Saccharomyces cerevisiae S288C: one gene and its partners. Changing the gene in region 1 together with any one later gene gives a genetic interaction. Each region holds a gene or a part of one and is shown on either strand. Other genes may lie near its edges.

Evidence for each region.
Region 2: mutations in PMA1 (region 1) and VPH2 together harm fitness more than expected from each alone (negative genetic interaction), as found in Saccharomyces cerevisiae (2 studies listed by BioGRID).
Region 3: mutations in PMA1 (region 1) and KEX2 together harm fitness more than expected from each alone (negative genetic interaction), as found in Saccharomyces cerevisiae (3 studies listed by BioGRID).
Region 4: mutations in PMA1 (region 1) and PER33 together harm fitness more than expected from each alone (negative genetic interaction), as found in Saccharomyces cerevisiae (2 studies listed by BioGRID).

Annotation. Positions count from the first base shown.
Region 1 is NC_001139.9:479,410-488,107, forward strand, and holds PMA1 (H(+)-exporting P2-type ATPase PMA1), read right to left. Parts: upstream 3,258-8,698; coding exon 501-3,257; downstream 1-500. Other genes in the region: YGL007C-A (uncharacterized protein), read right to left, coding at 3,532-3,618; BRP1 (Brp1p), read left to right, coding at 3,851-4,228; YGL006W-A (uncharacterized protein), read left to right, coding at 6,014-6,124; calcium-transporting ATPase PMC1, read left to right, coding at 6,512-8,698. UniProt on the Saccharomyces cerevisiae protein: The plasma membrane ATPase of plants and fungi is a hydrogen ion pump. The proton gradient it generates drives the active transport of nutrients by H(+)-symport. The resulting external acidification and/or internal alkinization may mediate growth responses.
Region 2 is NC_001143.9:216,566-223,517, forward strand, and holds VPH2 (Vph2p), read right to left. Parts: upstream 2,653-6,952; coding exon 2,005-2,652; downstream 1-2,004. Other genes in the region: DGR2 (Dgr2p), read left to right, coding at 1-135; OAC1 (Oac1p), read left to right, coding at 779-1,753; Hsp90 cochaperone SBA1, read left to right, coding at 3,759-4,409; serine/threonine protein kinase PRR1, read right to left, coding at 4,779-6,335; DNA-(apurinic or apyrimidinic site) lyase APN1, read right to left, coding at 6,787-6,952. UniProt on the Saccharomyces cerevisiae protein: Required for vacuolar ATPase assembly.
Region 3 is NC_001146.8:197,026-205,777, reverse strand, and holds KEX2 (kexin KEX2), read right to left. Parts: upstream 3,351-8,752; coding exon 906-3,350; downstream 1-905. Other genes in the region: YTP1 (Ytp1p), read right to left, coding at 1-590; LAP3 (bleomycin hydrolase), read right to left, coding at 3,845-5,209; iron-sulfur cluster assembly protein NAR1, read left to right, coding at 5,801-7,276; ZWF1 (glucose-6-phosphate dehydrogenase), read left to right, coding at 7,835-8,752.
Region 4 is NC_001144.5:260,042-266,900, reverse strand, and holds PER33 (Per33p), read right to left. Parts: upstream 1,446-6,859; coding exon 624-1,445; downstream 1-623. Other genes in the region: SND2 (Snd2p), read left to right, coding at 1-528; BMT6 (25S rRNA (uracil2843-N3)-methyltransferase), read right to left, coding at 1,647-2,744; 60S ribosomal protein eL22 RPL22A, read right to left, coding at 2,953-3,306, 3,696-3,707; FRS1 (phenylalanine--tRNA ligase subunit beta), read right to left, coding at 4,135-5,922; REX2 (Rex2p), read left to right, coding at 6,354-6,859.

The DNA of each region.
Region 1 (8,698 bases):
AAATTAGTGTGTGTGCATTATATATATTAAAAATTAAGAATTAGACTAAATAAAGTGTTTCTAAAAAAATATTAAAGTTGAAATGTGCGTGTTGTGAATTGTGCTCTATTAGAATAATTATGACTTGTGTGCGTTTCATATTTTAAAATAGGAAATAACCAAGAAAGAAAAAGTACCATCCAGAGAAACCAATTATATCAAATCAAATAAAACAACCAGCTTCGGTGTGTGTGTGTGTGTGAAGCTAAGAGTTGATGCCATTTAATCTAAAAATTTTAAGGTGTGTGTGTGGATAAAATATTAGAATGACAATTCGAGATGAAATTTTAAGCAAACTCTAGTAGGAAATAAGCGGCTTATTCTTGTTGGCTCCTAATTCTTTTTAGTGTATCAGTTCCCATTGATAAAAAAATTAAAATTAAAATTAGAAAAATTAAACCAGAAAAATCAAGTTGATTAAAATGTGACAAAAATTATGATTAAATGCTACTTCAACAGGATTAGGTTTCCTTTTCGTGTTGAGTAGAGACTCTTTGCATAGCAGCCATGAAGTCTTCGACACTTCTGGTAGACTTCTTTTCCTTCATTGGCTTACCGTTCATCAATCTGTCAAAGGCTTCAGAAGTGGACATTTCGTAGTAGAAACCACCCAAAACACAGAAGATACCGATAGACCAGATCCAGACACGGACGACAGTAACAATATCAGTCCAGTTTTCAGACCACCAACCGAATAAGGTAAACATGGTAGCGATGATGTCGACAGCGAAGACGGCACCAGCCAATTGCCAGGATGGGATAGAAGACCAGAATGGACCAGCAGCTCTGGTAATGAAAATCAACCAGTTTTCAGTCAAGGAAATTTGCAAGAACATAATACCGTTCATAGCACCGAAGTTTTGGATAATACCACCCTTTGGTAAGAACATAGTAGTCAAGGTAATCCAAGAACCTATAGCTAAAACTATGCCCAAAATAATAGACATACCCCATAATCTTGGTAGGTTCCATTTAACGGGCTTTGGAGAGTAAGGAGCATTATCGTAAGCAATAGCCAAAGTAGCAACATCAGCGAAAATAGCGATGAAAACAATCAAATCAATGTCCAAAGAGTTATCCAAAATAGCAATCCATAGACCCAAGAAGATTTCCAAATGTAGAGACAAAGCAATACGGTAAACAACGTAAGAGTACATTCTGTGAAAAATTTGTCTGGAGGTCTTCAAAGCATCAATAATAGCAGATAGACCAGGAGCCAAGAAAACAATATCAGCAGCAGATCTGGCAGCATCAGTAGCACCTTCGACAGCAATACCAGTATCAGCCTTCTTCAAAGATGGAGCATCGTTAACACCATCACCAGTCATAGCAACCAAGTAACCTCTGTTTTGCAAGATTTCAACAACTCTGTATTTATGTTGTGGGAAAACTTCAGCGAAACCATCGGCATTTTCAACAAAATCAGCTAATTCAGAACCTGGCATGTCACCACCGCCACCTAGACCTAATCTTTCAGCGTTGTAAATGTTGGTACCCAAACCCAATTGTCTACAAGTTTCCTTAGCAATACCAACAGCATCACCAGTTAACATCTTAACTCTTAGACCCAAGTGTCTAGCTTCGCTAACAGTTTGAGCAGTATCGTCTCTTGGTGGATCCATACATGGCATAACACCCAAGATTTCCCAGTGACCTTCACCTCTCTTTCTAGCAACACCTAAAGCACGGAACCCTCTAGAAGCCAATTCAGCAACCTTGTTTTCGTAGTTTTCATGGACATCTTCTGGGATTGGGTGATCTTCTTCGACAGTCTTCAAGACGAATAATGGAGCACCCTTAACACAAACAATTCTTTCACCTTCTGGAGATTCGACAACGGCAGTAACCTTCTTGGAGACAGGGTCAAATGGATGGAATTCCAAAACCTTGTACTTGGTCAAAGCGTCCTTAGCCTTTGGATATTGCTTCAAAGACTTCAAGAAAGCCTTATCAATAGCATCCAAACCCTTCTTCTTTCTGGAAGCAGCCAAACAAGCAGTCAACATCAAGTCGTCTGGAGAAACACCTTCAACAGTGTATGGTTCGTGCAAGGACAACTTGTTCTTGGTCAAAGTACCGGTTTTGTCGGAACACAAGATTTCGACACCAGCCAAGGATTCAATAGCAGACAACTTTTGAACAATGGCTTGTTTCTTAGCCAAGTAAGCAGCACCGACGGCCATAGTGGTGGTAACGACAGCTGGCAAACCGACTGGGACACCAATAATAGTAATACCTAGAGTGTATCTCAAGATTCTAACAATACCGTTGGTTCTGTAGAAACAAGCAGTCCAGACCAACAACAAAGTGGCAATGACCAAAACCAATAAGATAATACCAATACCGTTCAAAACTTCAGTGAAATGACCTTGACCACCAGCGGCTTTGTTAACCAAAGCAGCAGCTCTACCAACGAAAGTGTTGTCACCGGTAGCGGTAACAACCATGAAACCTTCACCTCTCTTAACAGTGGAAGAAGAGAAAGTTTGGTCACCGTAATGTTTGTCGACAGCCAAAGATTCACCAGTAATAGCAGATTGATCGATTTGCAAGAAACAGTCTTCAGTGACAATACGACCATCAGTTGGGATAACAGTACCATCTTCCAATTGCAAAATATCACCTGGGACGACTTCGTTGGCTGGAATTTCAACCAATTGACCGTCTCTGATAACAACAGCAGTGTTAGCCAAAGTCTTTTTCAATTCATCGACAATAGAACCAGCTTGGAATTCTTGAACGAAACCAACACCAGCGTTTAACATTAACAAACCACAGATAACACCGAAATCGACCCAATCGGACAAACCGGCAGCCAAAATAGCAGCGGCTTCCATAACGAATTGAATTGGACCGACGAAAAACATAACGAACTTAACGACTAAAGATTCTTTTTCGTCAGCCATTTGATTCAAACCGTACTTCTTTCTTCTTTTCAAAACTTCATCGGAAGTTAAACCGTAAGATGGGTCAGTTTGTAAATATTCTTCTGGAACTGGTCTAGCTTCACCGGCGGCAACTGGACCATCGTTATCACTGTCTTCGTCGTCGACACCGTGATTAGATTGTAGTTCTTCGATTAAAGCATCGATATCGTCATCGTCAGAAGATTCAGATGCAGCGTCATCGTAAGTCTTAGCAGGCTTTTCTTGAGTTGGCTGATGAGCTGAAACAGAAGATGCTGAAGAGGATGATGAAGAGGATGATGTATCAGTCATATTGATATTGTTTGATAATTAAATCTTTCTTATCTTCTTATTCTTTTCAATGATTTTCTTTAACTAGCTGGGGTATATTTTTTTTCTTTCTTTTGAATGTGTGTATAAAAGAGAGAAAAAATGGTTATTTTCCAATTAATTAATTATTAACGATTGTTAAAGAAAAAATTTATCAACGAGGTTGATAGAAAAAAAAAGTTTTTGTAGATATAGAAGAAAAAAAGATTTTCACTATTGGTGTTATAGGAAAGAAAGAGAAAAAATTTAAGAGAAATTAGATGTTAGACGATAATGATAGGACATTTGAAAATAATACAATATTTGGCCTTTTTATATAATCGAAACTAATGGAGGGGAGCATAAGCGGTACCCACCATCGACCACGTTTCGTCACCGGTCATAATTGGAATAAACAAAACAAACAAACGAACTAAAGAGTGTGAGAGTAACAATTTCCACAGAGGTAAAAAAAAAAAAAAGGAAAACAGAAACAAAAAAAGCTCATAGTTCTACTATAGCTTCTTCAGACTTTCTGTGAACGAGGGAAAAAGACAACAAAAAAGCAATGGATAAACGGTCTCGAGAGATTTTTCATGATGGAAAAGGAAGGAAAAAAACCCGAAAGGCATATGGATAACATTCTGAAAATGTCTATTCCTGTCAAAAGCATGTCAGAGGTCTCGAGGCCTGGAAGTGCCGCATTAGGAAATACAGATGCAATGCGCGCGAGTTTACGAAATTCTCGCAGGAGTTTCTCCGGCCATGTGCGGCTGGTTCTACGTCTCGTGTATGGGTTTATTTCTGCGGTAATTATCGCCGGATCTCCGCTTCGAGACCGGGTTTGTTTTCAAATTACCGGAAAAGGTCAGGCAAAACAGAGTGATGTATGGGTGATCCCAGCAATGCCTGTTTATGTTTCTCCGTTTCAGGAAGCTTGTTTTGTTTTTTCCCCGTCAGCGATGGTGACGTAAACGACTTTTTGCACTTTAGCAAAGCTGAGTTAATCTCGGAAAATCTCTGTGTCCTTCCTTTTTCTTCTAGCTTCCGTTCCGAGTCTCATCTTCTTTCCCGTGCCGTCGGGTTTAGTAAAGAAATGTAAAGAAAAAATGTCGTATCGTACCCGAGAAATATTTCAATTCTCTTACGTATGCGATAGCAGTTGGAAAGATCTGATTCGTTACGATGACTTGATAAGCGCGGGCTTTTTCGCCCTATACGGCTTGGGCCTGACTAAAATGTGATTCTGTGTTTTACGTATATGCGCGTATATAGAGCAATTGATTGACTTATTACGCAGTTTATCAAGATAAATTCTTTGTTCTTGCTTACGGGAGTGTGGTAAGCATGTATACGCCCGTTTAAAAACCCGATGGAGGCTTTTTCCCCAATTCTCGTACTCCATTGGGCATATGATTTCTTTCTTTTTCCCTTTTTTTTTTTTTCTATTTCCCTAAACTAACAGAACAAGCTTCAAAACAAATGACGGAGAGAAAAACAGTTTTGATTTACCAAATGCGGCAAACTTATTGAGGCTAGACACAGCTCTACCGGATTCGTCCGAGCACTTTTTTGTTTTCTTTTCTATATTTACTACAAACATAACAAAGTTTTGTGCGTCTTCCCTAAAGCAGCTAGGATGAAAATCCTATGCTCTCATCTCGCTGGTTGCCATCTCATCGCATCCAATGCTGTCTGTAATCATTTTATTGGACTTTTCTTTGTTTGCTAATCCCCCTTTTCTTTTTCCCGTTCTTTTCTTGTCCTTGTTTTTCATTTTAACTATATTTCTGAAATTAAGGAAAAATAAGGCAAAAAGTGGGTGGATGCATCTGCGACTTCTCTAGTTTTGCGCCTACTTGGGCGCGCTAATAATAAGGGTTTAGCTTCTTAAAATAAAAATGTCAGTAACAGTTGTACGATAAGGTCTTTACTTTTTTTCTCTCGAGAAATGTCTTTTTCTAATTAATCTCTCTTTTCTGTTGTTGGTTACTGCCTTCCATAGTCCAAGACCATTCGTTATATGGTGCAGTGTAGGATCGAGGAGAATCGGCTCACGGTGCTTATATTATTGCCCGGCTTCAAGTATATTTACATCAGTCTCCATAGTTGTTTTATCTTATTCTTGGCATTGATCTGCTTATTAAACTATTTATCGGTTCTCTCTTCTGGTACAGAACTTAACATGATCTTGTTTTCACTATTGTGCCATAAGCTGAAAAGGCTAAAATAAAATTAAGATAGTAAAGTTCACTCTTAAACTAATCAAGCATGAATAATACAAAATAAATATTTGAGCCAAAGGGGATGATTTAATTATCAAGTTTTTCTTTTCATACTTCGGTTTACAAGCATTGTTTACGGCTCTTCTTTTCTTAGTTCTTGGCAGTTTGTGTTTTCTTGATGAGAATAAGAAAAGTATCGATCTTACGGCAAAACATAAATAAAACACAACTTTATCTTTTTTTGTCGCAGTAGTGTGGTCCTACAGCTCCAAGCCTGCCGCTTTTAAAATAGTGAGCTGTGCATACTGATATATGTTCTATTTTACCCATTTGAGGGGCCTAAATTGTCTATTAATTTTTTTACTTTAATACAGTTTGTATAGAAACATGTGGCACTAACAGCTTTATCCGCCCGCAGAAAAGATAAAAAAAAAGGGTTTTTACCCGGCAAAGAAGCTTCTCCATCATTTGTCAGGGGGAAAAGAAAATTAGGAGGCTCAGGCCCTAGAAGCGCCCTCCACGCTTTTTAAACAAATGCTAATCTTCATAATTCATTATCATCGCCACTTGGCATTGCATTTAATGGGCGCCTTCCAAAAACATTCAAATAGTATCAGCCCCCCCCCAAGGAAAGGCTTTATTTGAATTGCGTTAAATATTCGATTTCTTTCTAGCAATTATTACCAAAATAAATTGCAGGCTTAACGAAAAATTAAATAATCTCTTCAGATTTTTTCACTTCCCCAAACTACATTTTAGTCAGGTTGGCACGATTCAATTGAGAAGGCTTAGGTTAAGAATAAACATTTTTTCATAAATTTGAGGAAGAAGGGGCTTTTCTGGTAATTTTCATTCAATAGAAAGGCTTAAGAAAACGTCAAAAAACTCATGCGCCTCCAGTAAAAACTAAGTGTATTAAGAGAATTGTATCACATATATACGACATTGAATTAAAGAAATAAAACTTGAACAAATAAAGTTTAGAAAAGTGGTTCTAAAAAAAAAAAAACTGTGTGCGTAACAAAAAAAATAATGTCTAGACAAGACGAAAATTCTGCTTTACTAGCGAATAATGAAAATAACAAACCATCGTATACGGGAAATGAGAACGGAGTCTACGATAATTTCAAATTATCAAAAAGTCAACTTTCGGATCTTCATAACCCTAAATCAATAAGATCATTTGTCAGATTATTTGGATATGAGTCTAACAGCCTCTTCAAATACTTGAAAACAGATAAAAATGCAGGCATTTCTCTTCCAGAAATATCAAATTATCGAAAGACAAACCGGTATAAAAATTATGGCGATAATTCACTTCCTGAAAGAATACCAAAGTCTTTTTTACAATTAGTATGGGCTGCTTTTAATGACAAAACAATGCAATTACTGACAGTCGCCGCTGTTGTTTCCTTTGTTTTAGGTCTATACGAACTATGGATGCAACCTCCACAGTATGATCCTGAAGGAAATAAAATTAAGCAAGTTGACTGGATTGAAGGGGTTGCTATCATGATTGCGGTCTTTGTGGTAGTTCTAGTGAGTGCCGCTAACGATTACCAGAAGGAGTTGCAATTTGCAAAGCTAAATAAAAAGAAGGAAAACCGTAAAATTATAGTCATAAGAAATGATCAGGAAATATTAATTTCCATTCACCACGTTTTAGTCGGTGATGTCATTTCATTACAAACCGGTGATGTTGTCCCCGCTGATTGTGTTATGATATCAGGGAAGTGTGAGGCAGATGAATCATCCATCACTGGTGAATCTAACACAATACAGAAATTTCCGGTGGATAACTCATTAAGAGATTTCAAAAAATTTAATTCTATCGATAGTCATAACCATAGCAAACCATTAGATATAGGTGACGTTAACGAAGACGGTAACAAGATTGCTGATTGTATGTTGATTTCAGGTTCCAGAATTCTCTCTGGCTTGGGCAGGGGTGTCATCACGTCCGTGGGTATAAACTCAGTTTACGGTCAAACCATGACTTCATTAAATGCCGAACCTGAAAGTACTCCATTACAGTTACATTTGAGCCAATTGGCTGATAATATATCCGTTTACGGTTGCGTGTCTGCTATAATTCTTTTCTTGGTCCTTTTCACTAGGTACTTATTTTACATAATACCTGAGGATGGCAGGTTCCATGATCTAGATCCCGCTCAAAAGGGTTCTAAATTTATGAACATTTTTATCACATCTATCACGGTTATTGTGGTGGCTGTTCCGGAAGGTTTACCATTAGCTGTAACTTTGGCCTTAGCGTTTGCAACAACAAGAATGACAAAAGACGGTAATTTAGTACGGGTTTTAAGAAGCTGTGAAACGATGGGATCTGCTACTGCAGTGTGCTCTGATAAGACTGGCACTTTGACAGAAAATGTCATGACTGTCGTTCGTGGCTTCCCGGGCAATTCTAAATTTGATGATAGTAAATCGTTGCCCGTTAGCGAACAAAGGAAGCTGAATTCTAAGAAAGTTTTTGAAGAAAATTGTTCGTCATCCTTGAGAAATGATTTATTAGCCAATATTGTCCTGAATTCTACCGCCTTCGAAAACAGAGATTATAAGAAAAACGATAAAAATACAAATGGTAGTAAAAATATGTCAAAAAATTTGAGTTTTTTAGATAAGTGTAAATCTAGATTATCGTTTTTTAAAAAAGGCAACAGGGAAGATGACGAGGATCAATTATTCAAAAATGTCAACAAGGGTAGGCAAGAACCCTTTATTGGCTCTAAAACGGAAACAGCCTTACTCAGTTTGGCAAGATTATCATTAGGATTACAACCGGGAGAATTGCAATATTTGAGAGATCAACCGATGGAAAAGTTTAATATCGAAAAAGTTGTTCAAACAATTCCGTTTGAAAGTTCTCGTAAATGGGCCGGCTTAGTGGTAAAGTACAAAGAAGGCAAAAATAAAAAACCATTTTACAGGTTTTTCATTAAAGGTGCAGCAGAAATTGTTTCCAAGAATTGTTCGTACAAGAGGAATTCAGATGATACTTTGGAAGAAATCAATGAGGACAATAAAAAAGAAACTGATGATGAAATCAAAAATCTTGCGTCCGATGCTCTCAGAGCCATAAGTGTTGCCCACAAAGATTTCTGCGAATGTGATAGCTGGCCCCCTGAACAGCTGCGTGATAAAGACTCACCAAATATAGCTGCTCTTGACTTGCTATTTAACAGTCAAAAGGGCTTAATT
Region 2 (6,952 bases), on another chromosome or scaffold:
ACCACTTATCCGAAGTTGAAATGTGACGTCTGCAATGGATCTAATTTTGAATGTGCTTCCAAAAACCCCATTGCTGGCGGTGATAGCGGTTTCACGTGTGCTGATTGTGGTACAATCCTCAATAATTTCAGATAGAGAATCAGAAAGTAAGAGGAAAAACTATCTGTTCCACCGTCTTTAGATCATAAGCATGTCTGCAAATAACATAGTATTATTATTTATATCTGTAGCGATCTTTATTATTTTTCATTACTGACACATTTTCTCACAGAACCATCTACAACCCGAAAGATGCCGGAAACGGTCTTAGGCCGATGGGGTCTATTAGGGCCTACAGAGACGTCAATTGGGCTATAAGAAAAATGAAATCGAGGAAAGATTTTCCACTCTCAAATTAAGTAGGGCAAAAATATGCTTTTGTTCGCATGTGGTGTTATTCCAGTTGCGAGTCAGGGTCTGCCGATATGCTAAAGGAGGTCACGAAAACGAATCTGGCATTTAATACCTCATTAAGTTACAGCGGAATCGGCCTTCTGTTGCGGAAAAAAAAAAAAAAAAGAAAACGAACATTAAGCACCGCTGAAATTTCAAGCTGTGACTAAGTCGTCAAATGATAAATACTGCATATATATAAACTATGTGATTATATGCAACATTAAGATATACTTTCTTCTTCCATAATGCCCCCACTCCAGAACTCCATCCGAAATAGTTTTCCTTAGATTGCTATAGCAAGTCAGACACAAGCACATCTCATCGAATTATATCGTAAGCAAATATGTCATCTGACAACTCTAAACAAGATAAACAAATTGAAAAAACAGCCGCCCAGAAGATATCGAAGTTTGGTTCGTTTGTGGCTGGTGGGCTAGCAGCATGTATAGCTGTTACAGTTACTAATCCGATCGAATTGATTAAAATCAGAATGCAGCTTCAAGGTGAAATGTCAGCATCAGCTGCAAAAGTTTATAAAAATCCAATCCAAGGTATGGCGGTAATTTTCAAAAACGAAGGTATAAAAGGTCTGCAAAAAGGGTTAAATGCTGCTTATATCTATCAAATTGGGCTAAATGGTTCCAGATTAGGGTTTTATGAGCCAATCAGATCATCATTAAATCAGCTTTTCTTCCCAGATCAAGAGCCACATAAGGTACAGAGCGTCGGAGTTAACGTCTTTTCTGGTGCCGCATCTGGTATAATTGGTGCAGTCATTGGCTCTCCATTATTCTTGGTGAAAACAAGACTTCAATCATATTCCGAGTTTATAAAAATTGGTGAACAAACGCACTACACCGGTGTTTGGAACGGGTTAGTAACCATTTTTAAAACCGAAGGTGTTAAGGGTCTATTCAGAGGTATTGATGCGGCAATTTTAAGGACAGGTGCTGGTTCCTCTGTTCAACTACCTATCTACAACACAGCAAAGAACATTTTGGTCAAAAATGATCTGATGAAAGATGGCCCAGCATTACATTTAACTGCTAGTACTATCTCTGGGTTAGGTGTTGCCGTCGTTATGAACCCATGGGATGTCATTTTGACAAGAATCTATAATCAAAAAGGTGACTTGTACAAGGGACCTATAGATTGTTTGGTCAAAACTGTTAGAATCGAAGGTGTAACCGCTTTGTATAAGGGTTTTGCAGCTCAAGTGTTCAGAATCGCACCTCATACAATCATGTGTTTGACCTTCATGGAACAGACAATGAAACTAGTTTATTCGATAGAGTCGAGAGTTTTAGGCCATAATTAATTCCCATAACAAACTCCGAGGTTTGAAGTTTCATTCATTGGCCAGGACAGTTCTACTTTACTAATGGTTTCATTACAACCTTTTTCTTCATATTATGTAGCATTAAGGATAATAGAGCATTTTTTATTTCACATTCATACACGATAGTTTTATAAACGTAATTATAAACATACAGAACATTATTCACAATTGTCCAGTTCCAAGAATTATATGCTCTCGGATCTCGGAGTTCTTATTTATAAAATGATCAGTTACAGTGTAATCTTGCTTAGAACTTTCTTTTTCTCAACCTTTGTTTTTTCTTTTACTTTTGCTTCTTCGAGTTTTTTCAGATAGCTGTTATACACAACCACATCTGCTACTAAGACCAATATTCCAAAGAACAAGCACAACAAAAGACGAACATGGACCGGAAAGTTTGTTGAAGATCCGGTCCAGTACCAAATGGCCACAACAACCGATATGACACTTACAAGAACGTTGAAAACAGTGGTAACTTGTTCCTTAATCTGTTTATTAATTTGTGAAGGCGTGAGTTCATCGTCTTCTTGAAGTGAAAAGACAGACTTGCTTCTCTTGACCATACTTTGATATTCAAGTTCTTGTTCCTGATATTTCAAAAACTCTAATTTTTTCTTGAAATCCTCTGAATAGTGTAAACCTCTGACGGCCTTGGGCTTGAATTCGAACTCCAAAGGTTTCAAAAGTTCTTTGATAGAGCATTGGAGATCACTGTCTTTTCTATACTCTTTCACATAAAAAAGAAGTGACTGCATAGGTATTGCGTGTCGCTTCAGGAACAAATCAATGTCCTCATCAATTCCTTCGTTTGATTTCGCGCTATTCTTGAACTTTCGCAGAAATTCAGTTATTCTATCATTCAGTTTAATTTCGAACATTAGAGTTCTTTTATGTGATGCCAATCGTCAATTATCCTATCTTACCTTTTCTTCATTTCTTTCAGCGTTTTCATGTGAGATTTGCTTTATTTTCGCTTCCTCGTTTCTCATTTTAAATATTCACACGTCCGTCATGTCTACTTTGAGTCAGTTAAATACACAAGATTTTTGTAAAACTGAGTATTTCGTGAACAATATAATTGTTCGGATTCAATCATAGTTAAAGACTATAGTATGAGATACACAGAATATCCTAAAAGTTCCCCTCGAGGGTATAGGAAACCTCAAAATGGAATCGGTCTTTCTACATGATAATATTACTCTAACTTCTTTTCTTCTATACTTTGCCATTCATTACCCTATCACGTTATCAATCCTTGCATTTCAGCTTCCATTAAGACCGATAACTGTTTCCCAATCTCTATGTCATCATCTTACACCGCTGTGATAATATTCTAGGAAGACGAATACTAGCCAATAGATGATACAAGGATTTCATTTCGACAGAAACAAAAAAAGCATGGAAAAACGAATGGAGACAAAGAGGAAGTTAAAGAAAGTTCATTTGTGACCTCATTTACTCAGAAGAATTTCGTAAATCGGTTGTTATAGAACTGTTTTATTGTTTAAAAGAGCTTGTTATAGTAATCTAAGTGGAAATACACTAACAGTAAATAGGGCGTGTGGCGTAGTCGGTAGCGCGCTCCCTTAGCATGGGAGAGGTCTCCGGTTCGATTCCGGACTCGTCCAATCTTTTTATACTTATTAATAATTTTTTTCCTGCCGTTACTTGCTTTTAAAATAACTGCCTTTTATGAATACAGAGTATAATTTTTGATATACAAAGAGGTTGACTGTGATAATCAATACTTAATTTGTGGTTATTGGTACACATATACCTACAAAAGTTACCAACAAACTGTTCGACTTTTAATGCTACCCGCCTTCCGAGTGTTTTTGAAGGGGCGGAGAGGAGCGGCAAGAATTAGCATGGAAAAAAGCATAAAAAGACGAAATGGGTGGCAATGTATTAACTTGTTCGAGAAACCTAGTGGACTCAATTCATTACAACAACAAGTTCCCAAGATCATCGATTCATAATAGTCATGTCCGATAAAGTTATTAACCCTCAAGTTGCATGGGCTCAAAGGTCTAGTACTACTGATCCAGAAAGAAATTATGTCTTAATAACTGTGTCAATTGCAGACTGTGATGCCCCTGAGTTAACCATTAAGCCATCATACATCGAATTAAAGGCTCAATCAAAGCCTCATGTTGGCGATGAAAATGTCCATCATTATCAATTACACATTGATCTATACAAGGAAATTATACCTGAAAAAACAATGCATAAGGTTGCTAATGGCCAGCACTACTTTTTGAAATTGTATAAAAAGGATTTAGAATCTGAATACTGGCCACGTTTGACAAAGGAAAAGGTGAAGTACCCTTACATCAAAACTGATTTCGATAAATGGGTTGATGAAGATGAACAAGACGAAGTTGAAGCTGAAGGTAATGATGCCGCTCAAGGAATGGATTTCAGCCAAATGATGGGAGGTGCTGGAGGTGCTGGAGGTGCTGGAGGCATGGACTTCAGCCAAATGATGGGAGGTGCTGGTGGCGCTGGTTCTCCAGATATGGCTCAATTGCAGCAATTATTGGCTCAAAGCGGTGGTAATTTGGACATGGGAGATTTCAAAGAAAACGATGAAGAAGATGAAGAAGAGGAAATAGAGCCGGAAGTGAAAGCTTAAAAGGAGGAGCAAATCAACCTGGAGTGCTAGAATGAGTAACTTAGAATAAAAGACGAATATATGCACTTTACACAACTCTTTACCTGTTTGTTATTGGCTGCCTCTATGTAATTAAATATTATGGAATTAATAAAAATATTTTTATTCGTAACTATCTTAGATATATATTGTACATTGTCAAAAAGACAGTAGTAAGCAGATAGAAGCTATATTGGATGCAAAATAGAGAAAAAAGCAGAAATATTATGTTGCAAATGTCAAGTAATGGAACTGTATGTGATATTTAAAGAACAATTTCTATATGCTGGATGATTATCAGGTGTAAGCAATAAGAAAGAAAACGAAAGTAACTCCCATCCGTGGGAAATTTCAAGAAAAACTTAGAGTATCAGCGATCGTTTTAACGAAGGGGGATTCGTAAATTTCATTAATCGACCAACGTTGGTTCTTCCTCGTTAGCGTATTTTCCACAATCTGTTTTCCCACATTAGTTTTATAATCGCTTAACCGGTACCATCTCCAATCAAACCTGGCAATACGATGTGACGTAGCTCTGCTACGCTGTCTTGCTGAAGCGTTTGGAGGAGGGTCAAATGGTAATCTGTCCTCAAACAAGCTGTATAGTATGACACCTAAGGCCCACGTGTCGCTTAAATGGCCATCGTAGGGAACTCCCATCAGGATTTCTGGTGAGACATAATCCTCTGATCCACATCTTGCTGTACACATCTCATTGTTCTCAATTTTTTTGCAGAGACCAAAATCTGCTAGCTCAATGAAATTTTGCTTGCAGTAAATGGGTGAGTCCCTAAAACTGTTGATATCATCAAAACTATATTTCAGTAGTATATTCTCTAATTTTAGGTCCCGATGAATAATACTGTTTTCGTGCAAATATTTTACTGCCAGTACTACTTCCGTAAAAATCCTTTGAATCAGCCACGCTTCTAGTCTTCCGTTACGGGCCATGACGGCAGCTAATAAGTCTCCTGCAGGACAATAAGACATAATCATATCACAAGGCGGCAGAGCTCTTGGAGTTTTTATAATCAAATCGCATAAAGGTTTTTTGCTAGTAACAAAAATTGGATTGTTTATCCCAAGTAGTTTAACTATACATGGGTGATTTAGTGATTTTAGCACCTGCAATTCCCTAGTCAGAGAATTTTCCAAACGGGATAAAGTTTCCTTATATCGTAACGATGTATTGATTTGTTCAACATTTGATAATTCCTCGGGATATTTGAGTCGTTTAACGGCCACTTGTTTCAGTTTAGGATTGCTTTGGTCCATGAGTTCATATAAAAGTACGGTACTAAAATTTCCTGAACCAATGGGCCTGACCTTTTTCCATAATAACGGGCGATCCCAGTGATCTAAAAGAAATCCCTGAAATATATCATCGTCACACTTTTCGGTAGAACTACTACTTTCGGGAAAATAAGGTTCTTTCGTGTAGTTATCACTATCAACAGAATCATTTACTAAAGCCTCTTCAGTCACTGTTGGTAAGGAAACAACCCTTTGGGGGGATAAATTAGCTGGTGCAATAAGTTCAGAAACAACTCTTTGGTTTGGTTGTGTAACAGAAAGCATATCATCCAGTAATCGTGCATGACTTCGTCTTTTGGGTATATTCAACGAGGATTGATCTATAGGTGACATTGACAGATTGCCTGGGGATAACGGAGTGTAGGTCATCGGTGTAGGTAATGCTTGGACATTTTCAAACGTCGGAATAGATACAGTCAAAGGTGTACTGCGAGAATCACCAGTGGTCCCTTCAGTGGATGCCATTTTTTTATCTTCCTCACCATTTTCATCAATCAATGCCTTTTCGTGTTGATCGCCAATGGAGTCGGGAAATCCTTCTTGTTTCAACCGAGGAGTCTTTGGTTGTGAATATATACTACTATATTCATCCATTGTCGGTATAACCTAACAGCTGCTGTGGGTATGGATGAATTCGAAGCGTAGATGTGATTACTATCTCAAAATATACTTGTCTAATTGTGTAAAAAAGAAAAAAAAGATAAAGAACACACCCCGCGTTGAAGATTACAAGTAAAAAACTTTCTATGCTTAGGAATAACGTTCCATAAGAGGATGGTGTGCTCAGCCTTCTTAGTTCATTTACTGGAATGTATTTAACTTTACCCTTTTCGTCTGCTAATCCATCAGTATGTGAAAAATGAAAATCTAAAAAAAAAAAAGGCTGCCTTATTCTGTAACGCAACGCGAAACATCTATAAACCAAGTAAGTAGTTTCTATGAAATGGGCAACAGCATCTTGGATGACGAAGGGTAGCATTTAGTTACGTACGTTGAGATAATCTACAAAAATTGATTACGTATTTAAAATTCTTCTCGCTTCTCATTATTCTTTCTTAGTCTTCCTCTTCTTTGTCATTTGTGACAAGATATCATTATCGCTTGGCTCTGCAGTGGCTTTCTTCCTCTTGGTGCCCCCAGCTCGCTTCTTTTGTTTAACCTCAAACTTGTCTAACTGTTCCTTACGCGATTTAGCACCTAATTTCTGCAGC
Region 3 (8,752 bases), on another chromosome or scaffold:
GTGTGTGCCTCTCTACAAAACCCAAAGAGCGCAACAGGTGCCAAACAGACTTTAACCCAACCTGTTAGAACAGTTAGAAAGGATAAACCACGATGGATATATGACAACCTTTTCTCACCTGCATTTGATATGAACGTTTGCAACCTCTTGCTTTTCACTAAGAAACCAGTTCCTCCAGCTAATCCACCAAAGAATAAGGTTATCCAAGTAAGTCCCACCAAAAACCATGCGGTTCCCCTTGAAGTTCTATTTTCTACCCCATCATTGTCTTGAAATCTTAATACGGCAGCTTCTAAGAAAGCGTAAACGGCACAAGTGCATTGTAAGAGGGTAGCTGAATATATCCTGCCAGCGAACGAAAGGCACGTCACCACGGATGGTAAAAGCAACAAGAATCCCAAAGTGCAGAGCCAGTGGAAAGATTTCGACCCAGCCTGCACAATTTCTGGCCTCGTGTATCCCGAAGTATCATCCATGCCCATATCATGCTCCATATCACCGCAGACTTTTTCAAAGAAAAAGCATATTAGTAGAATTGCGCTAATGGATCTGGAAAATCCGAAGACAATATTCTTATTAGCTGCTGTCATTCCTTCTAGGCAGGTAAGGTTTATTCGACCTATTTTTTGTTTTGTCTGCCGTTTTAAAGTTATTCAGCTGTGGTCTTAAATATGCATTAATTGGACCCTCCCCTTTTATGTGCTTGATATATCGGTTCGGAGTTTTCATTTTATTCGCGGGTGCAAACAATGCAAAGTACATCATAGGGATTTCAAACGGAAGGAATAGGATATTAATGTTTGTTTATATATCATATACACATATACGTATACGTATGAGAGAGTATTATAATCTATAAGAAAAAAATGCTATTTTGTAATTTGAAGCTTTCTGTACATATCGAATCACGATCGTCCGGAAGATGGAGGAACATCAGGCTGTAATTCTTGTAATTTATTGGAAGCAGATTCTGCGTTGGCGTCATTTGGGAACTTTTGCTTTATAGGGTCACTAAATGGATTTTCGTTTGTTAGTACACTATCAATTGTATGTTCAGCATCACCGTTTTCTGATGAAGACAAACTTGCAAGATGGTCTTCATCGGACAAATCAAAATCGAAGTCCTCAACCTCTTCGGGCTCAGTAATTCCGGAAGTTCCATTGTCCAAAGTAGAATCGTACTCAGAGTCTGTATCAATGATATCGAATTCATACGTTTCCGCTCTTGACCTTCTGATCCTTCTCCTTGATTTCATAAAAAACATGAAGTATAACACCAAAAATGTGGCGCCAATCAAAAATATTGTTAAAAAATAATGCATGGCTTGCCTAGGAGAGGAAAGTTTTTTAGGAGTGTTTGGATCAGAATCAGGATCGGTACTCGCAGTAGTCGTTTGGGGAATGGCCGACGTTTCCACACCAATTGAGATAGAAGATGTAGAAGTAGCGCTGATGGAAATAGAAGTTGAACTGGCAGAATATTGTGATACGGTACTTTCTGTAGCAGCTGGTTCAACCTCCTCTTTATCGTTTCCAAAGACGAAAGTTTCTGTTTTAGATGAATCAATGGATTCCCCAAAGAGCTTCAGCCTCCAACTGTGGAAGTCAATCCTGTGTCCATTTTCTGTTGTCTTAACCTTGATTTTCCAATCACCTACGCCGTTCTCACCCCAATGTGCTACAGACATGAATGTCCAGTCTTTGAATCCCTCTGATGAAACATCTCTTGGTCTTACAACGCCAAGGTTTGAAATTATCCCCGCTGGTGATATTAAATCGACAGTCGTAGTTCCCCTAATTTCTGTATCAATATCTACAGTTACCGTGACGTGCTCAATTCTCTTGAAGTTAGCATCTTGAAGACTTTTTTCTGATATGGTTATGACGGATTCTAATGTCTCTTCCGTGGAGTTTGTGGACTGGGAAACATACAATGTTGGCAGGTAAAACCAGGTTTGTGCGTTAACATTCTCCCAGGTCTTGGACATTTCAATTAACTTATGGGCATCGATTTTACCAAAGCCATAGCGATGAGAGTATTTCTTCCCCATGGCGCTATCTCTCCAATCTCCGTCAGCGTTCTTTTCTAACCCTACCGCAGACAAGATTGATAAATACTGTACGTCTCTCCAAGTTAGGTTTGGGTTGGCTTCTAGTAACAAAGTGTAAACACCGGCAGCTAATGGAGCAGCCGCAGACGTTCCACCGTGGCTATTACTGCATCTGCCGTTGATATCACTCGAATGAATATATTCGCCTGAACCTGAAGAATACGTGACTGCCATGACGGCGGAACAACCTTCGGAATAAGGAGGATGTAGATCTTTGTGATCAATAGCCCCAATAGTAATAGAATATATGGAATTAGTATAGCCGTCGTAATTGCAATTATCACCACGAGTTCCACCATTTCCACTGGCAAAAACGTAAATCGCTCCTTTGGAATCTCTTCCCTCAGTAACACCTTTTACTAAAGCCTTTTTCACCAGGTCACTAGGGCCTTGTAAATGTCTTCCGTCATCAGCGGGACCCCATGAGCATGAATATATATCGTTTACGTCTAGACCATAAATCAAGGACGCAGCTTCATCTTCCGTAGTGATATCACCGGATAAGATTCTTATGCCTGAGATTTTAGCGTTGTAACCTACCCCGACACCGCAAAAATTGTTACCTTTTTTGGCAGCTATTTCACCTGCACATCTCGTACCATGGTAGTCATCAGATAATCTTGGTTTAGGTAAATTGGTATTGTCGTTGAAATCCCAAGAACCTTCAGCGCAAAAATTATCCTTCAAGTCTTCATTTTCGTAGTCAAGGCCATCATCAACAATGGCAGCCACGACCCCTGCGCCTGTAATATTATTGTACCACAGATCAAGAACATTTATATCACTGCCAGGAAAACTTGGATTGACCAAGTGCCACTGCCTCTCAAAAAGCGGATCATTTATGCTGAGTTTATCCTCAGCTTCTTTTACCGGTAACAAGCTTGAGTCCATTGGTGGAGCAGGCACCGGTAGTCTCTTAAATAGGTCGTTACGCGGGAATAAATCATGGACAGATAATATGTGGTCGTTGTTATCCCCCTGTAACTCTTCTAATGATGATCTTTTGCCCAATTTTAGCAACTCTTTTGAAAAAACATAATGGTTTGGTAGCCCTCGAACATCATGTTCATATTTCCAATTTGGATGCATTTCCTCCAAGCGGGATAATGTTTCATTGCTTTCTACAGCAAAATACTGTCGTGACGTATGGTCCTTCAATGGAATTTGTTGTGATGATACAAGAGCGGATGTTGAAAAGGCCCACCAAAAGCATAAAGTAATATATTTCCTCACTTTCATCTGATAATGGGTTAGTAGTTTATAATTATGTGACGAGGCCAAAAAACAACGGGATTAGTTTATCCTTAGTATGGTAGCCGAATGAATGAAATATGTGGAATAGATTTCTCTTTTACAAAACGGGATGTTTAAGCCAGGAAAAAGAACAGGCTTATGACAGAATTATGCATATGAAACGAGAGAAAGAACACGTCCAGCAAATATGGAGTACCTTGTTTGCCTTTAGAAAATGTTTCGGTTTCAATACTGTTCTCTTCAGCGATGCTGTTGAAGTATCAGCTCAGTTATTTAATATGCTAACCTTTCCTTTGTTTGTTTTCTTTTTCTATCTTTATTTTTTTTCCATTTACCGTTTTTTGCGTTTCAGAAAATGACCCTCATTGATTATATGAATAATAATATACACGTTATCATTTTTTATTTCTTTTATGTATGTATAGTAAAAATAAAACATGTCGAGATACGTGTATCTACATCAGAGCTGCTGAAACTATTTATTTGGCCAAAGCACCCATTGGGTCCCAGATGGGCAAGACAATCGGCTCTTCCTTACCTGAGGTGAATTTTGAAGCCAGCTCTTTTGGCAATTCATTGATATCGACCACAATTTGAAAGCAGTACTCCTCGAAGTACTTTTGAGTCATCACGTATAATCCGTCTTTACCGGAGTCTTTACCCCAGGAATTTTCAACGCGGTAGCGAAGTGGTAATTTAGACGTTTCATCGACGTGGCAGCCAGTGATCAACATAGCATGAGTCATCAAACTTTCATGGTATCTAATACGCGATGCCTTTTGCTGAGGTAAATTATAGCCGATGGCAGGATAGTTCCACAATTCAATATCCATGACACCAGTTTTCTTGTCCATGAACTTTGGAGTGTGAGATCCAAAAAAGACAGCTTTGTTATTTTGTAATCTCTTAACAACCAATTTAGATAGTGTTTCATTGTCAACATTTAAGTAAATCACGGCATCTCCGCCAAGGACGTTTCCTAAACGATCGATCTTAATTAATTTACCATATGGGTGTCTTGGATCATTGATCAATGAGACTGGCGTGGAAGGGTCCAATTTTGCGTATTTGGAGGCAAATTCTAACGGAGTCGATTTGATAGTGTGGATTTTCTTGTCTTTGTCAACGTATTCCCAAGTGAATTGCTCGTTTGGTTGCACTGGAGGTATGTCCATGAACAACGACATCAACCTGAAGATTTCTCTTTGCATTTGCTCTCTCAGAGTGACAATTATGGAATCATCGGCAGAACGCTCTTTCAAAGCTGTTCTTAGAGTCTCGGCAAATTCTCTCAGTTTAGTAGTCAACAGAGAATTCCATTTTCTGGACGCAGTAGTAGAATAAGGTAGATCCCCGTATAAATCTTTGGGGATAAGGCCATACTTCTTGACTAGGTTCAAAAACATGCTGTATTGGCCACCGTCTTCTGTTGGAGCTGCTAACAAGTATTGCACGAGACGTGAGTCGATGTCTTGATCAGCCGAGGAGACGATTTGGTCCAAGAAATAGTTGGCCTTTTCCAACTTATCGTAAAAGAACAAGTAAGCTTGGGACAGTTCGAATTCTTTTAAGTTCAATTCAGAAAGAACATTCAAGCGCAGTTGATTGGTAGCGGCAAACAACCAACATCTACCAGAGCTTTTTTGGTTGGTGACTGGAGTGGAATCAGTAGAGACAACAGTGTTGAAAACCCTGTTATCTTGCTTTTGCAGTCTAGTCTTGTTCAACAGTGCATCATCGGCATTATAATTCTTAAGGACAGTGGTTGCCAATTGATGGGTTAAGTCGGATTGAAACTCTTTGTTCCAAGAGTTGATCTTACTGATATCGATGGAAGAGGACATTCTTTTTAAAACAATTTGTGGTGCTCGTAAAAGGTGGCTTCTAAACGTCTTGAGATACAAGGACCGGGAAACAGAAGTAGGAAGCATGTAACAAAAGAGCAAGGGCTATTTATCGTTTATTTATGGGTGCCCGTCGGCGACTTGTCAGCCGGCGTTATCAATTGATTACCACATGCAACCCCATTGATTAAGAGAGCAGGTGACTTTCTGGTGGGAGGGGAAAAAAGGATGTGTCACTCACTACCCGGCGATTGCATGCTATTTGACACATACTAAAGCAAAATAACATATGTAGCATAATCAATAAAGCGACTATTTTCTAAATTTCAAAAAGCACTGAATATACGATGCCTCTTCACAGGATTAAGAGACAAAATTTGCCTGTTTGTAAAGCATATTGCCTGCCTTTCCGCTAGTTTTTTCTTTTCCACTTCCTATTTTCTTTTTTTACCAGTTTTCCCTGCTCATCGCATGAAGAAAAAAATGATAAAAGCGTTTTATGGTGATGACTAAGAAACTTGTCTTGTCAGCTGGAAAGATAAGAGAGGGAGCTTCCTTTTCCTGAGTGACAAGATAAGTGTACAAGAAAGCATGAGTGCTCTACTGTCCGAGTCTGACCTAAACGATTTTATCAGTCCCGCCCTTGCGTGCGTCAAACCTACCCAGGTGAGCGGGGGCAAGAAGGATAACGTTAACATGAACGGAGAATACGAGGTGAGCACGGAACCAGACCAACTGGAGAAGGTCTCTATTACCCTATCAGACTGCCTCGCGTGTTCTGGTTGTATAACGTCTAGTGAAGAAATCTTGTTGAGTAGCCAAAGTCACTCGGTTTTCCTGAAAAACTGGGGGAAGCTTTCGCAGCAGCAAGACAAATTCCTCGTTGTGAGTGTCTCGCCACAATGCAGACTATCTCTTGCGCAGTACTACGGCTTAACATTGGAGGCGGCCGATTTGTGTTTGATGAATTTTTTCCAAAAGCATTTCCAGTGCAAGTATATGGTTGGAACGGAGATGGGCAGAATCATATCGATTAGCAAAACCGTAGAGAAGATCATTGCGCATAAGAAACAAAAAGAAAATACCGGTGCGGACCGCAAGCCTCTATTATCTGCTGTGTGTCCGGGATTTCTTATATACACGGAAAAGACCAAACCGCAGTTGGTGCCTATGCTGCTCAATGTCAAGTCGCCTCAGCAAATTACGGGCTCGTTGATCAGAGCTACGTTCGAGAGTCTCGCTATCGCGCGTGAGTCCTTTTACCATCTGTCGCTGATGCCATGTTTTGACAAGAAACTAGAAGCGTCAAGGCCAGAATCGCTTGACGATGGGATTGACTGTGTCATTACGCCACGTGAAATAGTGACAATGTTACAAGAGTTGAATTTAGACTTCAAGTCGTTTCTTACTGAGGACACAAGTTTATATGGGCGGCTATCACCGCCGGGATGGGACCCGCGAGTCCACTGGGCGTCGAATCTGGGAGGCACTTGTGGTGGCTATGCCTACCAGTACGTAACGGCTGTCCAACGACTACACCCAGGAAGTCAGATGATAGTTCTGGAGGGTAGAAACAGCGACATTGTCGAGTACCGATTGCTGCACGATGATCGCATAATAGCCGCCGCCAGCGAGCTTTCCGGGTTTAGAAACATCCAAAATCTGGTGCGTAAACTGACCTCGGGCTCCGGGTCAGAGCGCAAGAGGAACATCACCGCTCTGCGGAAGAGACGAACAGGTCCAAAGGCGAACTCACGCGAGATGGCGGCCGCCACGGCCGCCACGGCCGATCCCTACCACTCGGACTACATCGAGGTAAACGCGTGTCCGGGTGCATGCATGAACGGTGGTGGCCTACTCAATGGCGAGCAAAACAGTCTCAAGCGGAAGCAGTTGGTTCAGACACTGAATAAGCGTCACGGAGAGGAGCTAGCAATGGTAGATCCTCTAACCCTGGGACCCAAGCTAGAAGAGGCGGCAGCCCGCCCGCTTTCGCTAGAGTACGTCTTCGCGCCCGTCAAGCAGGCCGTCGAAAAGGATCTCGTCTCTGTTGGGAGCACCTGGTAAGTAAGGTGTAGTTTTGCACCCGTGTACATAAGCGTGAAATCACCACAAACTGTGTGTATCAAGTACATAGTGACATTTAAATAATAGCAAGAACAACAATAATAGTAGCGCTACTGGAAGCACCACGTAATAGTGGAAAAGAACTGGAAAAACCGCTATAAGATGCATACTCCGGCGGTCTTACGCGGAGATACAAGCTTCCAACGGTGCTAAAAGCCCGGTTTCGGCTCGGCCGGAGGAGGAAGAGAGACGAAAAAAAAAAAAATGACTAAAAAAAAAATGGAATATTATTAATGTGGGATTTTTGGCTCAAGGTGTGGTGGCCCCTTTTCTAAGGGTGGCGAATTCTTCAATGTACGGAAAACTCGCCAAGGCTATCCCATATATAAGCAAACTGTGGGTTCATCTATATACCGACACATAACACCTAAAGTGGCTTCCTCCTGCCCCTCTCTCCCTTTTCTCCACTCACCCCTCCTTCTCCCCCTTCCCCCTCTCCAATTGGCTGTATAGACAGAAAGAGTAAATCCAATAGAATAGAAAACCACATAAGGCAAGATGAGTGAAGGCCCCGTCAAATTCGAAAAAAATACCGTCATATCTGTCTTTGGTGCGTCAGGTGATCTGGCAAAGAAGAAGACTTTTCCCGCCTTATTTGGGCTTTTCAGAGAAGGTTACCTTGATCCATCTACCAAGATCTTCGGTTATGCCCGGTCCAAATTGTCCATGGAGGAGGACCTGAAGTCCCGTGTCCTACCCCACTTGAAAAAACCTCACGGTGAAGCCGATGACTCTAAGGTCGAACAGTTCTTCAAGATGGTCAGCTACATTTCGGGAAATTACGACACAGATGAAGGCTTCGACGAATTAAGAACGCAGATCGAGAAATTCGAGAAAAGTGCCAACGTCGATGTCCCACACCGTCTCTTCTATCTGGCCTTGCCGCCAAGCGTTTTTTTGACGGTGGCCAAGCAGATCAAGAGTCGTGTGTACGCAGAGAATGGCATCACCCGTGTAATCGTAGAGAAACCTTTCGGCCACGACCTGGCCTCTGCCAGGGAGCTGCAAAAAAACCTGGGGCCCCTCTTTAAAGAAGAAGAGTTGTACAGAATTGACCATTACTTGGGTAAAGAGTTGGTCAAGAATCTTTTAGTCTTGAGGTTCGGTAACCAGTTTTTGAATGCCTCGTGGAATAGAGACAACATTCAAAGCGTTCAGATTTCGTTTAAAGAGAGGTTCGGCACCGAAGGCCGTGGCGGCTATTTCGACTCTATAGGCATAATCAGAGACGTGATGCAGAACCATCTGTTACAAATCATGACTCTCTTGACTATGGAAAGACCGGTGTCTTTTGACCCGGAATCTATTCGTGACGAAAAGGTTAAGGTTCTAAAGGCCGTGGCCCCCATCGACACGGACGACGTCCTCTTGGGCCAGTACGGTAAATCTGAGGACGGGTCTAAGCCCGCCTACGTG
Region 4 (6,859 bases), on another chromosome or scaffold:
AGGAAACAGGCTAGTTCAAATGCAAAAATAATTCAGGGCTTATACAAGCAAGTCTCTTTGTTTTTAGGAATGGCTATCGTACGTCTATTCATTTCACGTAAGGTTACAATTGGCCAATGGATTAAGCTGGTGGCTTTGAACGTTCCTATGTTCGTTGCTCTGTATATCATTGTGCTATCCGGTAAGCCCAAATATGATGGCAATCGCGTAGTAAAACAAGGTATAGACTTGAACGACAATACAAATTTGATATCATATTTTTTTGATTTGATATATCTATCACTTTTTGGTAACATTGGTATTATAGCTTTCAGGACATTCAAATTTTGGTGGTGTCTACTATTGTGCCCCATCTATGCTGGTTACAAGTTATATGGCCTCAAAAACATGTTCATGCCTGGCGCTCAACAAACTCAGGCAGATAATCGCTCAAAAAATGCTAATGAGGGACAATCCAAATCCAAAAGGCAGATGAAAAGGGAGAGGAGGGGTGAAACTGACTCTAAAATTAAGTACAAGTATCGTTAAACAAAGCTTTTCAAACGTTTTTGAAATTTTTTGCTTTCTATAGAGGAGTGTGAGTATATACAAAATAATATTTAGATATACTTAAAATGAGCATGCTACACAGGTATCTTCCAAAACACTGTCATAACGAAATTCTTATAGCCGTTCCATAAACGGGAACAATATGGGGGCAAAGTACGGCTGACATATGCATCCAACCTAAGGACATATTGTTTAAATATCTGCCTCATAGATTCACTTTGTAGGTACCTTAATTTGAAAAACCATACATAGGTTAGTCCTGCCAACATTGTACCCACTACCTCAAACGACACGTTTGCTCTTCTTACCAACAACAAGAAAAAATTGAAGGGCACTAAGAAGAGGCCCACACGTAGGCCGCAGATAATCTCAAATACTTGCGCCATCTGTAAGAAAAATCCATTGTAGTTTTGGATGAATACCGTTATTTTGGAGTTCAACAAATTTTTCAAATTAAGTGGTATCAAAGGCAAAAATGGCAAAAGGTTTTCCTTAAAATAGTTCAGGAAGTGAAAGATTGAAAAGATAACGGGACTGTATAACGAGCCGCTGATTATGATGTTAAACTGTGATAAGAGAAAAAGTATGAATAGCATGGCAAAATACTGCAAATTATCCAATTTCTTCATCTCTTGGCGCAAAAGCGTAAAATTGAACTTTAACTGGTCACTTTTGAAAAACTGGTAAAGAACGATGGCATATGTAACGGATATGTAAAATAATGATCTTCTATAGCATGACAATTGGTTTTGTTTGGACGTGATTGAAAGATGAAATTGTATAAAGTTAAAGATGGTTAAAAAATGGCCTATAAACCAATAAAACTGGGGTTGTTTTATTCTTGATTTGATAATGGTGCCAAATGGTGCCATGGGACGATTCCTGGGAACGGTCATATTGTTTTGTGCTAATTTTTTTTTACAATTATTCGAAATGAGTCTTGTTTGATCGTGGCCCCTTCTTTATTTCTGATTCCAAATCGAATTTTCAACTCTCTTATTAATATTTTTTCGGTGTGGATGAGAAGAAAAAAAATTTTTCTAAACTCTTCGAGAAAAGAACAATGAAAAGAGAACAGTAAAACGTCATAAAGCCTGTTAGTTCTTGACATAAAGACGGTAAAAGAATCGCATGTTTTCCAATGGAATCGAGTAGTCGAGTTTTGGGTCCATTCTATACCAAATACTGTCGTTCTCGGATACTAGTGACCATGGACCTGTCGTTCCCTTGTCCTTTCTATTGCCTACTAAGATAGTATCGATAAGAAATTGGATTGGGAACTTCTTGTTGTTGATGGTAATGTGAGAATAGCTTCCTGCACTCTCTAGTATGAGAAGATGGCAGCCTGGGGCACAGTTCTCGTTTAACCGTTGCAGAAATTTTATACTCTCCACTTTTTTCTGTGTAAATAGTTCATTTGTAGTAAAAAGTAGAGTTATTAGGTCGAGGCCTTGATATATCTTGATATCTTGTGGCTCTGTCATTTGTAGGCAGTCCTTGTGGGTAAAGTTGACGTTAAATGACTCTGCTTCTGAATCACCATATAGCCATTTCGACTTTATTGTAGCTGTTAGCTTTTCAACAACTGTGGACCAGTCGGCGATATCTACTAGTTGTATGTTTAAATTTCTAGGCTTTTTGTTTACTTCGTTGTCTATTTTCAAAGCAGAGGCAAATTTAGACGAAAAATCTCTCGATAAAGTGAATATGCTCGCTAATGCAACCAGCTCACCACCAGCGCCGCCACCTATGCAGAGCACATTTGAGTCCTTGTCATCAATTTCGCATCTGATAATCTTTAGAAGCTCAGGGAAATGTGCAAATACTGATGCGTAACTTGTTGCTCTGGACGGTGACCAACGACAACAATATGCTATTCTTTTCGAGTCGTTATTGAAAGCAGCATTGTAATCTCTGTTATAAAGGTCAGATTTTACCGCCTGTATTTGTTCAGTTAACGGTGACTTTTCATTGTCTTGATCTTTTGGATATAGCTCTTCTAAGAATGTTATTTTAAAAAGATCGATTATTTCCTGTGGTGGAAGCGTTGATTTATTGTGAACGGGCAATTGGGCCACTTTTTTAGGATTCATGTTAATTGGAAACTGAGAAGAGTAATGATATTGTGAATAAATTGGTATATATTTAAAATATACTGAAGAAGTTAAAAAGGCAAAGCGTCTCATAAGCAACATCAAAAACGTGCAAAAAGAGACCCTGCGATGAGATGTACTCTAATTCAGAAAGAGAAAAAAAAAAAAAAAAAAAAAAAAAATAAAAATGCACTAAGGGCCCAATGGATTTCTTTTTTTGATATTGAATCATTCATTAAACATATTTATTAGGTTTAGAAGATTTTAATTATACAAAACTTATGCTCTATTTAAAATAATATTAATGAATTTATTCTTCGTCTTCTTCTTCGTCTTCTTCTGGAGTGACTTGGTAGAAGGCCAATCTGTATTCGTTGGTCTTGGTAGAGACAAATCTGATCCAGTCTCTCAATTGGTTCTTCTTCAAGTACTTCTTTGTCAAGTACTTCAAGTACTTACCAGAGAACTTGGCAGTGGAAACAACAGTAACAACGGTACCATCTTCAGTGACAGTGACAGCGTTACCCAAGTTACCGACAGCACCTTCGACCTTGATGTGGTCGATCAAGTACTTAGCGTAGGAAGCTGGGTCGAAGACACCGTTTTCAGTTGGAGAAGAGACATCGACGGTAAAGGTCTTGGCAATCTTTTGCTTTCTGGAAGTCTATATCAAAAAAATTAAAGATTGAAAATTAGTAAAAATTTTCAGAACAGTAATGTTAGTAAAAAACGAATATTTCACGATTTTCTTTCAATCCCGAAACCACAAAGTTGCCTACTGCTATTAACAATCACATATGACAATCTCAAACAAAAAAACATTCAGAAACGGATAAAAAGAAGGGAGTCGATATAGAGTTCAATGTTCAAGTAGTGAATTTTTAAAATACAGAAAAGCAACTAAACACATAGACGCTTCTTCGTTTCGTACATTTTTATTTTTTTTTTTTTGGTTTTACTATCTTCCTTGTTATTCGCGTACAATCAATCATTACAATAACAGTAAAACATAGACTTCGTAATCGGGCGTGGATTCCTTTTAAAGTATCATACGTTTGGGGCCATTGTTTCTTAATCTGTTGTTTTGGTGGTTTATAATTTGATAACGGTAAAGTACAGGTAAAGTTGTTAATCTCAATTAATAATGTACATATTGTATGCAGCTAAATGATAGTTTGAAACATTTTAGGAAATTCTCGGTAAGATTTGTTCGCGTGGCCTGTTGAGGATTTTTTCAAAAGAGAAGCGCACTGAGGTGGAAAGGAAAAACAAATTAACATAAATGTATGGATGTATTATTAAATGTACTGATGTTTATCAAAAAAACTGTCTTTGAAAGTTAAGTACAAGCTAAACATTTACTCAGTAGCGGTAGTAATATTATATAAAACATGGTAAACTTTAGTTGTGTTTCTATATATAGATATATATATGTGTCTATCTATCTATATAAGTTTTATAAATCAGTAAAAATTTTTGTTAGAACATTACATTATAGGAAGACTTCGGCATTAACCTCTACAAAGGATGCAGCGAATGGAACGTCGAAATTCATCATGACTTCAGGATGCAAGACACCCAAGTGGCCGATTTGCTTTGGCTCAGCGCCTTCTTTGGATCTGAACATGACCTTGGCACCTCTACCTGGGAAGTAGGTTTTCACAGAATCGTCTTCTTCAATCCAGTAACCTCTGCCAGAAGCAGCAGCACCGTAGTCTGCAATCCACTCTGTTCTAAAAGTTTGCATGATTTTACCCAATAACCCTTGAATGATTTCAAACCCAGAATTCTTACCCACGTAGATGGCAGCCCAGTGACGTTCATTGTACGCCTTCCTTTCTAGTTTGTCGTCTTTAAATACAACGTCACCGGTTTCAAAGACTTTGATTGGCAAGGAATGTTTTCTGTTTTCCTTGACTGTCTTTAAGATACCAGGCAATAAAGTGGTTCTAACAACTTGGTATTCCAAAGTCTTTGGGTTGGCCAATTTGACAGCTAAATCACCATTGTCGGATTGTCTTAGAAATTTAAAGTTTTCATCGTGCGAACATAAGGTCAATGGTAAAACCTCAACCCACGTGGCTTGAGAGGATGCAACTCTGAAAATATCAGAAACCTTGTTGATTGGTAATGGTTTGGCAATGAAGTTGGCATTGGATAATTTCTCACCCTTTGGCAAATTATTGAAACCATAACCGACAGCGGCATCTTCCATTATATCACAAGCGTGCAAAATATCAGGTCTAGTTACCGGAATGTCAACGTGCAAGATGTCCTTGTCTTCCTTTGATTGAACGGCATGCAACGACATCTTCTTTAGACAATGAGCAATTTCATCAGCGGATTGATCTAGGCCAAGACAGGAGTTGATGTACTTAATGGAGACATCCATAATTCTATCGTTGAAGTTTGGCGCCAAACGGGATTGGCCATTGTGTTCAGAGACAATTTCTACAGGCTCAACCGTGAATGGTTCGTCACAATAACGTGAGAACATTGTAGTTAATATGTTCAAAACGATCTCGGCTTTGGTCTTATCGGTGGCGGTTATATCAATCAAAATGTTACGGGTGTTCACAGAGATCTTCGAATGTTCACTATTGATTAATGGTGGCAGGGAGCAAACACGATCTTTGCTGTCCATAATAACTGGGAAGACTGGAGAATCCTCAATAATGTGAACGTATCTCCCTATGTTGTTTTTCTGTTCTGGAGATTTATAAAACTCGATCAATTTGTCACCAGTAAACTCTTGGGTTTGATTCAATGGTACGAACTTGATGTCCTTTGGTGGTAGAGCTCTGTAATGGAATGGACCTTCAATTGAATCTAAATCGTGAGTACCCATGGCAACCAAGCTTCTGTTTCTACATAGATTGGCATGTAATTTATCTTGCAAGGCAATAAAAGAAGCGTAAGATTTTTCGTTAAGCTTGATATTTCTCAATACAGCAGCGGTAGCAAAAGGTCTAATTTGCTCCGTTGATTTGTCGATGATCAACTTAGTGGTTGGCTTGCTTAATTTATAGTCAGGTCTTTCTTTACGTTCCAAGTATTCGTTCAGCGACTGTGAAATACCTTCGATACAAAGCAAATCGTAACGATTGGCACTGATATCAAGCTTCAATTCCGGCTCCTCCCCGGTTTTCAAGGCCTCCTCTGTGGTGTCTTCGTCCATTTCCATACCGAATTCAAAACATAATTCATCGAACTCTTGGGAAGTGTAGTTTTTGCCTAGAAGATCAAATAATTGCTGCTTGTTCACGGAGACGGTAGGCATGCTGGCTCGGTGTTATTGATGTGTGTTATGCTATTCTGCCCTATTTTTTGAACATTTGATCAACTCCAGGCTTTCGAGAAATACATTGAAAATTTTTCATTTCCTTCAATTTTCTTTCTTTTTTGGTACCGATTCTGAATAATCGGTCACCTCGTGTGTCGTGATAAATAATCAAGAAGATGTACTTTTATACAAGGGTTGTAGTCATCTGGGACACTCTCAGAGCACTGGCTCTGACGACAACCATCAAACGCATGCTCATACGTATAATTCAAGCCTTACATACACTGGTATTCCCTTTGGGGTGTTTCTTTTTCCTGTCAAGTTGGGCACTTAAAAGAACTAATAAAAAATCAGTGTGAACTTTTCGATTTGCAAAGAAAATGAAAAAAAAGAAAAGGAGCTTTCACAAATAAACAGAAGAGATCAAGATGAAGTGGTTGTTGTTTCCGGCAAGAATCGTAGCTCGCACTCGCCCAAACCTCTTCTCGCTGTACAGAAGATCCGTTTCACAGTACTTACGTCCTCGAACCATCCAAAACCTGCAATCAATGGCGCAAACACCCGAACTTAAAACCAAGCTGTTCAAACCCTTGGTCTGGATCGACTGCGAGATGACCGGTTTAGACCACGTGAATGACAGAATTATCGAGATTTGCTGCATCATCACCGATGGACACCTGGCACCCGTCAAAGCGGCCGATGGCCAAGGAGACTCGCATTATGAGAGCGTCATCCATTATGGTCCCGAGGTGATGAACAAAATGAACGAGTGGTGTATTGAGCACCACGGTAATAGCGGTCTCACCGCCAAAGTTTTGGCAAGTGAGAAGACTTTGGCCCAGGTAGAAGATGAGCTGCTCGAGTACATCCAGCGCTACATCCCAGACAAGAACGTTGGCGTCTTGGCAGGCAATAGTGTACATATGGACCGCTT